Linked DNA regions of Sus scrofa. The protein of the gene in region 1 purifies or fractionates together with the protein of each later gene. This does not show direct contact. Links are inferred from orthologs where the notes say so. Each region holds a gene or a part of one and is shown on either strand. Other genes may lie near its edges.

The links.
Region 2: the proteins of MOB1A (region 1) and PJA2 purify together in Homo sapiens (affinity purification with western blotting; 3 studies listed by BioGRID). This does not show direct contact. The link is inferred for Sus scrofa from reciprocal best matches to the Homo sapiens genes MOB1A and PJA2.

What each region holds. Positions count from the first base shown.
Region 1 is NC_010445.4:68,862,231-68,866,061, forward strand, and holds part of MOB1A (MOB kinase activator 1A), read left to right. Parts: intron 1-612; coding exon 613-706; intron 707-3,015; coding exon 3,016-3,149; intron 3,150-3,831. UniProt on the Homo sapiens protein: Activator of LATS1/2 in the Hippo signaling pathway which plays a pivotal role in organ size control and tumor suppression by restricting proliferation and promoting apoptosis.
Region 2 is NC_010444.4:114,367,980-114,371,810, forward strand, and holds part of PJA2 (E3 ubiquitin-protein ligase Praja-2), read right to left. Parts: intron 3,309-3,831; 5' UTR 3,222-3,308; coding exon 3,191-3,221; intron 1,750-3,190; coding exon 1,549-1,749; intron 137-1,548; coding exon 1-136.

The DNA.
Region 1 (3,831 bases):
CACATCCTCATGGATCCTAATCAAGCTCGTTAACCATCGAACCATGAAGGGAACTCCTACACAGACTTTCTTTCTCTTCTCTTATTTGGCTGCCCTGCAGCGTATGGAGTTCCCAGGCGGGAGATCAGATCCAAGTCGCAGTTGTGACTTATGCCACAGCTGCAGAAACACCGGATCCTTTAACCCACTCTGCTGGGCTAGGGATCAGACCTGCAGCCAAGCACTGCAGAGACACTGCTGATCTCATTGTGCCACAGTGGGAACTCCTACACAAACATTTTAACACAATTCTGGGAGTTCCCTTTGTGGCTCAGCAGTAATGAACCCAACTAGTATCCATGAGGATGTGGGTTCTATCTCTGGCACCACCCTATGGTTAAGGATCTGATGTAGCTATGAGTTGTGGTGTAGGTTGCAAATGCAGCTCGGATCTGGCATTGCTGTGGCTGTGGCCTAGGCTGGTAGTTAGCTGCAGCTCCAATTTGACCCCTAGCATGGAAACTTCTGTATGCTGCTGGTGCGGCCCTAGAAAGCAAAGGAAAAAATGAAATACCCCCCCCCAGAAAAAGGAAAAAACCAAAACAAAACAGAATTCTGCTGTTATCTTTCCAGCTGTGGATTTCTTCAACCAGATCAACATGTTATATGGAACTATCACAGAATTCTGCACTGAAGCAAGTTGTCCAGTCATGTCTGCAGGTCCAAGGTACATATATTGGCTATTATATTTGCGTTTGAATTACTAAATAAAGCTAATCACCAATTGATATAAATTAAATAATAAAGACTTGTTTTTCTCACCTATTTACTTGTGAAAACAAAAGGCTTACCTGTAAGCTTTTAGTTATTAAATACTTTGGTATATGCTACCTGGTATGTTGATTTTTTTTTTTTAATAATTCCATTATAGTAAGTATTAATGTTCAGGTGTAGGAGCGAAGGTAATTCGAGTTAGGTTTATCTTGCTTTGGAAAAGTTATTTTTTCAATTTTATTGACAGTTATGGTTCTGTTTCTGGTTTTTAAATTAATTTCTTGGAAGAGTCTTTACTTGACCCCTAAAGACACTAAGTTTAAAATTTTGGGGGAGTTCCCATCATGGCCCAGAGGTTAACCAATCCAACTAGCATTCACAAGGATGCTGGTTCAATCTCTGGCCTTACTCAGTGAGTTAACAATCCGGCATTGCTGTGAGCTGTGGTGTAGGTCGCAGACGCGGCTTGGATCCTGTGTTGCTGTGGCTGTGGTGTAGGCTGGCAGCTGTAGCTCTGATTCAGCCCCTGGCCTGGAAACTTCCATATGCCATGGGTGTGCCCCCCTCAAAAAAAAAGACAATTTTTTTTTTGACTAATAAATTCCAAGAAATATTGAGAGTTGAAACTATCATTCAAAGTTAAGTCAGGAGGTGATGAAATTAATAATTTAGTGTTTCCTTCCAGTCTCTTTTCCTCTAATAAATGATTTTATGTGATGATAGATGGTAATCAAGATGTTTACCTCTTGGCAAAAAATTGTCCTTTCTGAATCTGCTACAGTTGTAAAGGAAAAGAAAAGTGAGTTTGAATCCTATTTTTTCTTTTGGCTGCACCTGCAGCATATGAAAATTCCCGGGCCAGAGATCAAACCCGTGCTATAACAGAGACGTGAGCTACAGCAATGACAATACCAGATCCTTAATCCACTGCATACAAGGGAACTCAATGAGTCCATTTTTATTACATTATTTTAGGAGGATTTTGATTTTTTTTTTTTTTTTTTTTTTTTTTTGCTTTTTAGGGCCGCACCCATGACATACAGAAGTTCCTGGGCTTGGGGTTGAATCAGAGCCATAGCCATCGGCCTACACCACAGCCATAGTGATGCCAGAGCCGAGCTGTGTCTGCAGCCTATACCATAGCTGACAGCAATGCCAGATCCTTAACCCACTGAGTGAGGCCAGTGATGGAACCCACATCCTCAGATTCTTACTTCTGAGCCACAACAGGAACTCCAGGAGGAATGTTTTTTTATTTTGTGCGGTGTTACAGTTTTATTTCTCAAACTTCCTTAAAAGAAATTTAAATAAAACAAATAGAAAACACTATCTTTGGCTTAAGTGCTTCATACAGTGAAGTTGTGATTATCTTATTAATCATTCTAGCTCATCAAAGGGGAGGTAGAGAAAGATTCATGCCTTTTTAAAGATCTTTTTAACGATCGTTTCTTTAAAATTCCCTCCAAGAAACAAGAGTTTATAATTTTGGCTTTTTTTTTTTTTTTTTTTTTTTGTCTTTTTGCCTTTTTTAGGGCCGCTTCCTTCGGCATATGGAGGTTCCCAAGTCAGAGCTGTAGCCACCAGCCTACACCACAGCCACAGCAATGCTGGATCCAAGCCAAGTCTGCGACCTACACCACAGCTCAGGGCAATGCCAGATCCTTAACCCACTGAGCAAGGCCAGGGATCAAACCCGCAACCTCATGGTTCCTAGTCGGATTCGTTAACCACTGCGCCACGACGGGAACTCCAATTTTGGCTCTTTTGATGATTACTGAACGGCCAACAAACTCAGAATGTGGTGGATCCATCAGCCCCTTGCCCATTCTCAGCACCTTTACCTAACGGACAGGAATGCAGTTCTTTTGTCTTTCTCAGGGATGTGCTATAAAACATATTCTGGCACAGCCAGCTACCACACTATCTTCATTTTCTCTTCCATTTGTAACTATCACATTTCAGAGTATGGGTATAACTTATAGTTAGCCCTTCATATCCATGATTCCACTGCATCCACGGGTTCAGCCAACTGTGCATCATGTAGTGTAGTATTTACCATTGAAAACTATCCTTTGCAAGTGGACCTGCACAGTTCAAACCTGTGTTGTTCAAGGCTCAACTGTAATTCTCTAGGGAAGTTTCAAGTCATCTTTAGGAGAACTTTAGGTAATTTACTAAAGGAACTTCTGTTGACAGACTGTGAACCTACCTTGATTACAACATGTTTTTGAAAATTTTGTCACTAAAACTTTTTCTCTCCAGATATGAATACCATTGGGCAGATGGTACTAATATTAAAAAACCAATCAAATGTTCTGCACCAAAATACATTGACTATTTGATGACTTGGGTTCAGGATCAACTTGATGATGAAACTCTTTTTCCTTCTAAGATTGGTGAGTTAATGTTATAGAACTAATTTTCTTTTTACTTTTGTTTTATTTTTAAAAATTTAATTATTGTTGACTTACAGTGTTCTGTCAGTTTCTGCTACACAGCAAAGTGACCCAGTTAAAAATACATTCTTTTTCTCAGTTTATCCTCCATCATGTTCCATCACAAGTGATTGGTTATTGTTCCCTGTGCTAGGGAGCAGGATCTCTTGCTTATCCACTCCAAATGCGGTAGTTTGTATCTACTGATCCCAAACTCCCAGTCCACTCCCTCCTCCTTGGCCACCACAAGTCTGTTCTCCATGTCCATGAGTTTGTTTCTTTTCTGTAGATGGGTTCAGTTGTGCCATATATCAGATTCCAGATATAAGTGGTATCATATGGTATTTGTCTTTCTCTTTCTGACACACTTCATTTAGTATGCGAATTTCTAGTTCCATCCATGTTGCTACAAATGGCATTATTTTGTTCTTTTATGGCTGAGTAGTATTGCATTATGTGTATATACCACATCTTCTTAATCTATTCATCTGTCAATGGACATTTAGGTTGTTTCCATGTCTTGGCTACCGTAAATAGTGCTACAATAAACACGGGGTTCATGTATCTTTTTGAATGAAAGTTTTGTCTGGATATATGCCCAGGAGTGGGATTGCTGGATCATATGGTAGTTCTGTATTTAGTT
Region 2 (3,831 bases), on another chromosome or scaffold:
TGATGTACTGCAGCAAAGGACGGACTGCTCTCAACGTTTTGATTCAATGCTGTATCACAAATGGGAATATCTGCTTCACTTTTTTCAAATAAAGGGTCACTGGGCGAAGAATGAACTTGATCCAATGGACTGGAACCTTCATAGAGAACAAAAGAAAACATATGTAGAGGAATTAATTTAGATAGATTTTATTTAATAACAATTCTTAAGAAGAAACTGTACCAATTATTACCTATTTGAGAATATGAGTAAATTTCTCTGACATGTGCTTCTAGACTCCCTAATTTAACTGGGAGGGCAGAATGGTCATCCTATGAGTTCATTCATACAATTTAGTAGCCTCTCGACATACTGTCCCTCAGATGTCTTCTGTAGGTTTTTAACCATTCTAAAACCTAAAACAATCTCTAAAAGACATTTAAAAGGGAGGCTAATGAGACACTACACAGTGAGAGACCAAAGTGAAGTCAAAGAGTAACCTCCCAGTTGTTGGAGAGTACAATTCACACTTAAATTCTTTTACTACACACAGCTTTTTAAGGTGCTTATAACAGCTATAAGAGCAGGTTACAGATCTAGCAGAAATAAGATTCTATTGAGTTTTATGTCATTTCAGAAAATTATCTCTGTATCTAGATACATAATATTAGATTTCTATGCCCAAAATGAACTGCTGTAAGATACCTATGAAAATGAATTAACTTTAGCTACCTCACAACTATGACTGAAAAACAACAAAAAATACAATGGTGTTTCTGACATAGTTTGTCAGAATTCTGAGACAAAAGTAAAATTGTATCTACTCTAAAAATTATTTTAAGCACGACTATCTTTACCATCACTAATGTAATAATTTCAAAAATGAAGACATTGAGAATAGCTGGAACAAAAATTTATGAATTATAAAAAACTGAAGGGAAGTCTTGTCATATCGCAAAAGGCCTTCTTTAACATAATGACCTTGGCTAATAATTCAGATTCTTGTACATAAATGACAGTAAAAATAATCTAGAATTATCAACTTTGCTCAGGAAAGAGGAAGATTATATTCCAGTCCAAAAAACATGTAATTATAGCACATGGATATGTGCAACATACTTTTTCGAACCAATGAACAATTAAGAAATTTTAATTGAATAATTAAATGCTGCTTGACATCTGTATTTTATATGATGATTCTTAAAAAAAATTATTTAGTTACAAATAAAATAACAAAAAAGCTATTTAAATGTAATATGCAGGGGAAAATATACTCAGTTCACATTAACAATTTTTTTTTTGATTCAAACATGAAGATTTCCTCTGGCTGAAGGATGTGACAATATAATCACTGCCATGCCTAAGTAGTTATAATGATTGGCCATATTCTATTTTCTTTGTTTAAGTTTATATACTATTAACATTAAATTCAATAAAAATTTAAAAACAGAACTTCTTAATAGGAAATGTATAGCATTTATACTCAGCTACATATAAAACTGACTCAATATTTCAAATATTATATGACCAATTCTTACATGCTTATTAAAAATAATTCATGTTACATACCTGAGGAATTTTCTTTTGGAACATCATCTAGTTCCAACACTTCATAGTCATCACCAGCCCGACCTAAGCTCCTTTCATGCCTGGTCATACATGGTTTAAAACTGACATATGCATGTCTTCTGCCATATCTCCTGCCTGTGATTGTCTGATATCCTCCTGCTGATTTGGGCCAGGCAGCCTTGCTGGATTCTTGATCCATTGCTGGAAAACAGAGTTAAAAATAAAAGGGGCACAGCCTCTTTTATTCTGACCTTTTATTCTGATATTTGGGGTAATGTTTCAACGTGTATCTATTATTTGCCAAAGCATAAGCTACTGAACATCAAGTGCACCTTACTAGTACTACACAAACTTACTTGAAAAGTAAATATGAAATACATTAGGAGAATTATGTGACCTCTTTACCCCCCAAAAATATATCTTTTAAAGTTTGGTACCTTAAATGTATTTCAGAATTTTTATAATGTAACCTACCAAAATTTTTTTTCACATGCCAAATTTCTATACTGTAAAAGCTCCTTAAGAATTGGAGAATGATCCTCCAAATTATCTAAGTACCTTACATATAAGTGCTCAATACAAATTCATTAAGTGAATTACTCACACAGGTATATTGGACTAAATTACATTAAAAGTGAATACATTCCAAAGATGAAAAGTAATTTCTTTAATGGTACCTGTACTATCATAAAGAACCAAGTGGACCACAATTAAACAACCTGCCAAAATTAGGGCCAAGGAAAATTCTCTGAAAGAAAACAGTGATGAGCCAAGTCAAACACATGCTACCCCACTTTTCAAAACTACCAATGGTATACATAAGGTGAGAAAATCCATTAACAGCTGAACAACCTGAATACTAAGTACTGATTCTGAAGGGATATACAGTAGCGAACAGTAGCATCTTTATTAAGTAGCACATTGTCATATAATATACGTAGACCCAAGTGAATAAGCAAATGAATAGTATACATATATAATAATCATGTATATCCCATGTGTGTATGTATATCATATATGTATAGATCATATACATGATAATATATCATGTATATCACGTGTGTATGTATCATCATACATGTATACTACACATTTGCTTATTCAATTGGGTCTACATATATATGCAGGAACTAAAAATATTTTCTCACAGAATATGGGACAGTCAATAAATGAAATAGTTATGTATTTTTTGTTTTGTGACACTGAAATAGGAAATCTAATTGTTTCTAAGCACAAAGAAAAACAAATATGTATTTATAATATATAATACCAAGTATTGCACTGTTACATGATTGATTCATAAACTTTATGAGGTGAATATTGCATTTTTTTTAAATATCAAAAAATTAGGGTTAAAATTAATTAAGTAACTTGTCCAGTAACCTAAACACCAAAAGAATAGTTTCCAAAGTGGAAAGCAAAATAGATGCCAAGGGAGTGTGAAAAGAAAATATAAGAATTTCTATTTATACTCATTTTTGTATCAATATTAGAAATTAAGCTTTATAAATATTTAATATATGGATTAAAACTGGCCCTAAGTAATACCATGGTCATATATCACATATGGTACTCAAGAAATATGGAGGGAAAAATAGGAAGTCCACAATGTTAGAGGAACTGACAGCAACATCATGCTTACCTGCCGGCTCTTTTTCAGTATACTGTGACATATATGGCAGTTTTTGTGTGCCCAGTTCAGTGGAATTATGGATGTGATTTACTTTTTACTCACACAATGGATAAGCTGCAAAAGATTCCTACAAAGAAACCACGGATTAAACAAAATATTAATAATACAAGGGCAAAACAAAAAAGGCAAAAGTAATACTTCTCTCTCCTAACCCATAACATAGAAAAATACAACTGGATCTGACCAGTTCAGCTCTTTATTAACTCATTACACAGAAAAATACAACTGGATCTTACAAGTCAAACCAAAGAACCTTAAAACTACCAAGATGGCTGCTTTGAAAACAGATTTAGATCTCATCATGAAAAATCTTGCTTTAATACATTTTAACCTTAAGACCGACAATGATAACGAAACACATATAATTTATAAGTAAGAAGCAAATATATTGGGAAAAGTGTTAATTAGGGTAAGTGACCAAACTGTTTGGGGGTCTACCACATACTATGCCATCTTTTCTTCTCCACCAAAACACTTTAGCCTGGCATTGTTAAAAGAAGTTAACCCGGGAGTTCTCGTCGTCACTCAGTGGTTAAATCCCACTAGGAACCATGAGGTTGTGGGTTCGATTCCTGGCCTTGCTCAGTGGG